Yarrowia lipolytica: one gene and its partners. The protein of the gene in region 2 interacts with the protein of the main gene of each other region in a biochemical or structural test. Links are inferred from orthologs where the notes say so. Each region holds a gene or a part of one and is shown on either strand. Other genes may lie near its edges. The genes, in order: YALI1_D17151g, YALI1_E21983g and YALI1_C33098g.

What was found.
Region 1: the proteins of YALI1_E21983g (region 2) and YALI1_D17151g form a complex in vitro, tested with the Saccharomyces cerevisiae proteins (2 studies listed by BioGRID, with this or other methods). The link is inferred for Yarrowia lipolytica from reciprocal best matches to the Saccharomyces cerevisiae genes HMT1 and SCD6.
Region 3: of the proteins of YALI1_E21983g (region 2) and YALI1_C33098g, one has a biochemical effect on the other in vitro, tested with the Saccharomyces cerevisiae proteins (2 studies listed by BioGRID). The link is inferred for Yarrowia lipolytica from reciprocal best matches to the Saccharomyces cerevisiae genes HMT1 and GAR1.

What each region holds. Positions count from the first base shown.
Region 1 is NC_090773.1:1,713,858-1,716,792, reverse strand, and holds YALI1_D17151g (uncharacterized protein), read left to right. Parts: upstream 1-1,172; coding exon 1,173-1,400; intron 1,401-1,670; coding exon 1,671-2,321; downstream 2,322-2,935.
Region 2 is NC_090774.1:2,196,764-2,199,839, reverse strand, and holds YALI1_E21983g (uncharacterized protein), read left to right. Parts: upstream 1-1,522; coding exon 1,523-2,503; downstream 2,504-3,076. UniProt on the Saccharomyces cerevisiae protein: S-adenosyl-L-methionine-dependent protein-arginine N-methyltransferase that catalyzes both the mono- and asymmetric (type I) dimethylation of the guanidino nitrogens of arginine residues in a variety of RNA-binding proteins such as heterogeneous nuclear ribonucleoproteins (hnRNPs) and small nuclear ribonucleoproteins (snRNPs).
Region 3 is NC_090772.1:3,308,691-3,310,994, reverse strand, and holds YALI1_C33098g (uncharacterized protein), read left to right. Parts: upstream 1-1,167; coding exon 1,168-1,773; downstream 1,774-2,304. Other genes in the region: YALI1_C33100g (uncharacterized protein), read right to left, coding at 1-776, 835-989; YALI1_C33086g (uncharacterized protein), read right to left, coding at 2,040-2,304. UniProt on the Saccharomyces cerevisiae protein: Non-catalytic component of the H/ACA small nucleolar ribonucleoprotein (H/ACA snoRNP), which catalyzes pseudouridylation of rRNA and is required for ribosome biogenesis.

The DNA of each region.
Region 1 (2,935 bases), on a different chromosome or scaffold from region 2:
TGGTTACTAGTATATATATTTCTCTACTCTCATCACAAAGTGTCTACTGGGTGCTGCAACTGTCCCCTCCCCCCCAATCACCACCAAAACTGTATCCCATTTAAGGGTGCAGATTGGGACAATTAATGGGTTCGAAACTGGTCACATCATTGACAAAATTTTGTCAAAACGTTCAAGCTTAAGAGACGACTCAAGATCCCTTCTATGTCGCGATGTAGTCGAGATATTTGGATTTTGAAACCGACCCCGAGATCGCTGTATCGTCCTCTGCCATCTTCTGCTTTCTCAGTAGCTCTAGCTCCATTTTGCGCCCCATTAGTTGCACTCCAACGGCATTGGATTAGTAAGCGATGAATGGCGGTTGGTATTAGTCAGCAGTAAACTCTGTAGGACTGCAGCGTTACAACTAGAGAGTGCATTTTCGTGGGTTTTCTGGATATCTGGAGTCACGTGATGATGCACGGTCACGTGGATTCCGTCTCATGTGCACCGAGACACCTCTCTATGGATTTTCTTCAAAGTGCCAAAGAAGACATGTACATTCAACTTTGGATGTATATAGTAGTAGTGCATAGGAGATAGCGTAGTATGTGACGGTACAGGTCGTAGAATCCACAAAAGAAGCGTGCGAAAGCCGAAAAATGACCGTCTGGAACACCTCCAGACCACAACTTGGACATTGGACGCCTTAAAAACATGTTCTCTGGCCATGCCTCGTCTCCACTCGTAATCTGTAGATCCCTGCATACTCTCACAGCCTGAGCAGTATGGTACAGCGGTAACAGAGGTTCAAATAACATGAGGATTGCTCTTTGACTCAATCAGCTCACAAATTCCAGAAGCCACCCACAGAGTCAAGCTCCCTGCCAGAATCACACACCTGGACCTCCACTATCGCGCATCCTGTCTAACAGGCCTCCACCTAGGGCAACTCAATTACCCTGTCGTCGGACTCGATCTGATCCGGGCCAGCTCGACGAAAAACTCGTCTATATAAACATTGTCGCGCTCCGCTGTCGCCATCCGAGTCCCACAATCGCTGCCCAGAGTCCCCCAAACACCAGATTCCACACTCCACCACTTTGCCCACCGGGTAACAGTCTCAAACTTACACTTGTCAAAACACAGACGACTCAAAACCCATCCGCCAACACAATTTAAGCCCCGCAAACATGTCACAGTTCATTGGCAAGACCATCTCGCTCATCTCCAACAGCGACATCCGGTACCTCGGCGTTCTCCATGAGATCAACTCCGAGGAGTCGACCGTGTCGCTGATGAAGGTGCGCACCTTTGGTACCGAGGGGCGAACTGGAGGGGCCAACGAGATTCCTGCCAGCGACGCGGTCTACGACTATGTGGTTTTTCGCGGCAGCGACGTGAAGGATTTGAAGATTGCTGTGAGTACACCGAGAGCGAGCGGAGATGATCATGTGCTGATATCTACAGTGACAGCGCCATGACGAGTGACACCACACCAATGGTGGACCCTCACATGTCACGTGTGCTGTACCGTCGACACGCCACTCACCCTTTCAACCACAATGATGAAGCATTAGGATGTAAATTATTTCACCCGAGAGCGCAAAAAACCGTGCGGATATTTCCTGCCTTCCTTCTGATTTTGTGTCTGCCGATACGTTCGGTCTTGTTGAACCCTTCTAACCCAGGACGAATCCGAACTCGAGCCCCAGCAGGCCCCCAAGGAGGAGGCCGAGCAGGTGACACAGAACGAGTCGCCTGCAGCTGCACCAGTGCAGGTCCAGCCTCCCGCTCAGCCGCAGCAGCAATCCCAGCCTCAGGCACAGCCTCAGGTACAGGAGCAGGCCCCTCGAAAGGCACGACCTGAGCCTCGCCAGGAGCCCCGAGAGGCGCGAGAGTCCCGGGAGCAGCGACAGCGAGAGCCTCGAGAACCCCGGGAGCCCCGGGAGCCTCGAGAAACTCCGGCGCAACCCTTTGACTTCTCCTCCAACCAGATTGAGGAGTTCAAGAAGGAAATGACCGAGGACGAGCAGACAGAAAAGTTCTACAACAAAAAGTCGTCCTTCTTCGACAACATTTCGCACTCGACCCGAGAGCAGCAGCGAGACCCCGAGCAGAACCGGGTCAACCGAGAGCTCAACTTGGAGACGTTTGGCCAGACTGATTCGGGGTTTCGACACAACAACTTCCGAGGGGGGCGAGGTGGACGAGGCGGTGGTCGAGGAGGACGAGGTCGAGGAGGTAGAGGTGGCCGAGGCGGCCGAGGAGGTGATGGCATGAGCAACCGGGACAGGGAGACTTTTGGTAGTTTTACCGGTCCTGCTCCGCGGTGGAACTAGACCATAGACGTGCGTATCAGCGTAGCGAGTCGGTCGTCTGTTGGTCGATGTGAGTGTGTTACAAGTACTTGCATCACTTAGTAGTGCATGCACTCGTATCTAGTTCCCGTCCCCTGTATATTTATAGTAATTTATTCATCTCAGACCGAGCAGTGAACCCTGCGATGTCTGAGCATAATGAACTCATGATATGAATGGACAAGAATACGATATCGTGTGGTCAGCAAGATATCAGTACATACCCCAATTCGGTATACAAGTTCTGTTATGCTGTGGGTATTGTAGCTCCTAGAATCAAAAATACATACTCAATACCATGGGAGAAAGAGACAGCTGACGGCAAAGGGGAGTTGACAAATCGATTATCGATACGATTACGAATATATTGTATATTTCGGGGTTCTCATAGCATGGCCACACAGGTTTCTAAGGGTGTAGATGTAGCCTAGATGTTTTACAAGGTGGTGCATATCGCCAACCAGGACATAGGAACGAAGACGGACAAAAAATCATGTAGTGAGCTCGACGAGATGGTATCTGTGTTATTTGAGAACTGGGGAATCTGGATCAGCTCTCTACAGAGTCTCAACTGCTCGAGATCATCTTTCGTGCGC
Region 2 (3,076 bases):
TCACGTGGCAGGTGTTTACCATTTTTGGACACTTTCAAAGAATATAATATCATTAATATCATTAATATCATTAATATGATTTTGGACTTTTATTTCATTTTGGACTTTCTTTTTTTTTTTTCTCTTTTTTTTTGACTACAAGTAGCTTATTCATTGGACTACATTCTCAATTGGACTTCATTGCCAACAGGACTCTTCCCCATGGGAATAATACATGACTAAAACTGTACGTCTTAGTCATCCATTGACGGTTCGCGAATCGCAAAATATTCTGGTCGCCGTCGGACTCTGTTGAGTCCAGAATGGCGTTGTAGTCTAGTCTCACTTTGGTTGGGGTTGGATACGGCGCGGAACAACTAACCTCCAGCATCAACAATGGCTTGAAGCATGATCTGGTAAGAATGGGACCATTGTAGCAGCTGTCTCTTGGCAGAGAGTCCCGTCTAGACTGCTTTGATTGGCTGATTGGCTACCAAGCTGGTTACCATTCGACTGTCGACTGTCGACTGTTGACTCCGCCAGGTATATGCCGGTTTACGCTACGAGTAGTGTTGGTGGCTGTTCGGTAAACCAGCCTGTGCCTTACCGGCCGTTGTGGGCGCTATTCGAGCTACGGCCTAGATCAATTCCGGGGAGCATTGAGCGAATACTACGCCATGGGCTGAAAGAGCAACGAGCGAGACTCAACTGGCCTAACAGTCATTGAACTGACTGGATACCGACGAGAGACCCGAAGGAGAATTGCCGGCGATAGTAAGGCTGAAACAAGTTGCAGGTAGGGAAGGGTGACTATCGAGCCGAGTCGAGTCGAGTCGGGTCGAGTTCGGGTTTGGTACGGGCCGACTCCTCAGTCGGTATGAGTTCATTAATGGTCATAGGTGAAACTGTAGCTCCAAGAGATGCTGTCACCAAAAAGGATACCTTTTTTGAAGGTATAAACTAGGAGAACTCACCATCAAGTCCATCGGAAATACCTGTTTCCCCTTACCTGGTCATAACCTGTCCGTACACTGGTCCACGATAACCATCAATGTCACATTACCGCTACGACAAACTTCACAGTATAAAGAAGGAGATGAGGAAATCTCATAATAAACACCCGTAATTGATACGGGTTAATCAGCACGAGAGGTGATTCCCCAACCACCAGTCTGTCGATCAACAATCAATTTCTTGCCGTTTGTTCCACCACCAAATTCGCGATATTCGTCATTCTCGACTCCTACAGGGTTCATGCGAGTGTTGTGAAAAATATCCCATGGTTTGAGCTAAACAGCACGGTCAGGAGGGGGTTATGGTGGTCAGATTTGGACCACGGATATTTCGTTGTGGTTTTTGAAGCCGTAGAAATTGATTCCACAAACAAAAACCGTCATTTTCAAGCCGCAACACCCTCTTTCGGTCTCTGACCCACCTGCATGGTTGGTCGATAAAGTTATCGTGCATAGCTGGGAAATTTTTATAAAGAAGCTTTCTTCTTCTCACCACCATTGTTGACCCGACCTCTTACCGCACACCCACAATGTCCCTCCCATACTCCGAGCAGCACTACTTTTCGTCGTACGACCACTTTGGCATCCATGAGGAGATGCTCAAGGACGAGTCGCGAACTCTGTCGTACAAGCACGCAATTCTGCGAAACCGAGACCTGTTCAAGGACAAGATTGTGCTGGATGTGGGCTGTGGAACCGGCATTCTGTCCATGTTTGCTGCGCAGGCCGGTGCCAAGCATGTCATGGGCGTGGACATGTCCAACATCATCGAGATGGCCCGAAAGATTGTCGATCTTAACGGACTCAGCGACAAGATTACCCTGATCCAGGGCAAGATGGAGGAGATCACCCTACCCTACCAGAAGGTGGACATTATCATCTCCGAGTGGATGGGCTACTTCCTGCTCTACGAATCCATGCTGGACACGGTGCTGTACGCCCGAGACAAGTACCTGGTCCCCGGAGGTATTATCATGCCCGACAAGTCCACCATCTACGCCGCTCTTTTGGAGGACGGCGAGTACAAGGACGAAAAGGTGTCCTTCTGGGACGACGTCTACGGCTTTGACTACTCGCCCTTCAAGGACATTGTGCTGTCCGAGCCTCTGGTCGACACCGTGGACCTCCGACACGTCATCTCCAACCCCTGCCAGGTGTTTGAGATCGATCTGTACACCGTCAAGGTGGAGGATCTGGCCTTCAAGGCCAACTTTGACCTCAAGGCCCGGGTCAACGACACTGCCCACGCTATTCTGTGTTGGTTCGACATTGAGTTCAACAAGCTCACCACCCCCGTCAAGTTCTCCACCGGCCCCCATGCCAAGTACACTCACTGGAAGCAGACTGTCTTCTACATTGACGGCCAGGTGTCTCTGCGAGCCGGTGACGAGGTGACTGGATCCATTGACTGCCGACCCAACGAGAAGAACAACCGAGATCTGGACATTACTCTGGAGTGGGAGTGCAAGGCTGAGAACAAGGGCGGCAAGCGATTTTACTGCATGAAATAAGCTGGCACGACGACTACTGTAGATCCCACTGTCGGCTCACCGAGTGGCAAGCCAAGCTGTGGCTTTCACTGGAACGGTCTAACAAAAAATTATGTATAGAATGTTAATTGTATTTTTTATGACGACTAACAAGCGGCGAGTACAAGTGAGAGAGATGTGGGTGCTAGGAGACCATTTCTGCTCTATTTCTGCTTTGCAGTACAAATCCTACACCCATCTAGTACATACCAACTAAATCTTACTTTTCTTCCACTAATCACACTCAACAACGAGACGCTGAAATGAAGATATCTCTGATTATTGTGGTGTAGAGATTCTCAAAAGTCATTATTACTTATCAAGTTGCTGATCGACTATCCACACAGCAACTTTCCTAGTCTCCACCGTTTCTACAACCCCGTAAATGAACCCCCAGCTGAATTTTCATCCCCAGTAATTTCAACTAACTTCCTCAACTAGATTGTTAAGATTAGAAGCAGTTCTGTCATCGTCTTGACTCCAACAACCGTGTCTCAGTTCGATTTCCGGTTGGAAAATTTTGATCCGAAAAATTAACGAGCCAATCAATCACAC
Region 3 (2,304 bases), on a different chromosome or scaffold from region 2:
TGAGAGATGCAAAGTTACACAAACTCGCGAGTCGCAGCTTTTCAGGCAGATTCTCGAATGCATAGAGCTGGAACTTTTCCAGATACTGGGTCTGCAGCTTTCGCACTTGCAGAGGAGTCAGCTCTTCGCCGGAGAAATCGTCCATGGGAAAATGCACGTAAAAATCGAGGGTCTTGAGCAAATCGGCGTTACACTTCTTCAACAATGAACACACATTCTTGGACTTGATAACACTGTTGGCGAATCGTCTTGAGGGGATTTGCGACACAATAGAGATGAGAAAACACAGATATGTGTCAACAAACTCCGTATCGTGCTCCTTCTGTAACATGATGTCTGTAAGTGTCGATAGAAACGAAGACTGTTTATCGATGTCCTCCTTCTTGTCGCCCTTGTCGTAGGCTTTCATGGCGCCTCTCCAGAGCTTCCCCAGTCGCTTGTTTCCCTTGAGCAGGTTCTCTCGCACCTTCTCGTCCATATGCATCCATGTGTAGACCGACACCAATGCTCCTGCCTCTGATCGCACCAACTGAGAGTCAAGCCACTGGAAAGAAACGGTCAGAAACCGCAGTAGTTTGGTTCGCACTTTCTGGATCCGTGTTGGCTTGTCTCCGGCCACGAGATTGAGTACCGTTTTGTAAAAATGGCCAAAATTTTCGGGGCTCTTCTCGAACACCGTCCATAGATCGAATCCGTCATTGGCCTTGGCAAGAACAAGGAGTGCCACGACAATGGCATTTGTGTTGGCCTGTTTCTTGTTGTAAACTGGCCATAATCTGGGTTAGTAAGGAGTTCTAGCGGTGTTTCTGTGTCTGTGCATCTCTCTATACTCACTTCTCTAGTCCATTCAGAGACTCTAGGGTATGCAGGTCGCGATCATTGAAGCCGTTCTTCTCGATGAATTGATAGACTGAGTTTATCGACACGTTATCCTTGTTGAGCAGCGCTGCTAGAGGCGAGATCTTGAGCAGGTCTGTCGATAGGGCCATTTTATTGTCGTCACAGAGGTGATGGCTTAGTCAACAAGCACTACCCTACAACATGGATAGTACACTGCATGAGCAGGGCTAGGGCAGAAAAGTTAATGGGAAAAAATTAGTAGGTGCATACAACTTTTTGACCTTACAGTGAACTCATCACAACCTCTACTACAAACATCACACAAAAATGAGCTTCAGAGGACGAGGCGGATTCCGAGGTGGCCGAACCGGCGCACCCATGCAGATGGGCCCTCCCGATCAGGTGTTTGAGATGGGTGCCTTTCTGCACGCTTGCGAGGGCGATATCGTCTGCAAGTCCATCAATGAGAAGATCCCCTACTTCAACGCCCCCATTTACCTTGAGAACAAGACCCAGGTCGGCAAGGTCGACGAGATTCTTGGCCCCATGAACGATGTCATGTTCACTATCAAGCCCTCCGAGGGCTTCCAGGCCGCTTCTTTCAAGTCTGGTGACAAGTTTTACATTGGCGGAGACAAGCTGCTGCCGCTGGAGCGATTCCTGCCCAAGCCCAAGGCCACCGGCGTTAAGAAGCCCAAGGCTGCTGGAGGACGAGGTGGTGCTCGAGGCGGTGCTCGAGGCGGCTTTGGTGGCCGTGGAGGTGCTCGAGGAGGCTTTGGTGGCCGAGGCGGTGCTCGAGGAGGCTTCGGAGGTGCTCCCCGAGGCGGACGAGGTGGCTTTGGAGCTCCCCGAGGTGGACGAGGCGGATTTGGAGGCCGAGGTGGAGGCCGTGGTGGATTCGGCGGTGGACGAGGTGGCCGAGGAGGTTACTAAGGTCTGTCTGATATCAGCATCAATTAGCCACTTACACAAAGTCTGGGGTGAGATTTCCAAATCCCCACTCTGGGCCCATCGCATGTACTCTTTATTTTATTGATTGTATTATACCTAGTAAAAGTTATACACTTACTGCCACAGACACTTCTCACAGATCGTAATCAATATCGACTTTTGATAAATTTTCAAATTTTCAAATTTTCAAATAAGGTTGCAAAAAATTCACACCCCAAAAAGTTGGTCTGTAGTTGGACTTGAGAAGTTCAGTTACCCGGCAGTTCCTTGGTTTCGGAGATATCGGAGATTAGTGCGGCAGACGATGAGTCGGTCGACGCAGCTCCCTCGCTCGTCAGGTACGCCTTGATGTTGGAGACCATGTATTCTCGCACGTAATCCACATCTCGCTTGAAAACTGTGGTCGCCGCAGTCGCCAATTTCTTGGACCATTCCAGAGTGGTCAACTCCAAGCCCGTGGCCTCGTTGAGCACTGTGGTCGGAGGGAAGCCCACGTTGGAGGCGGTTCCCACA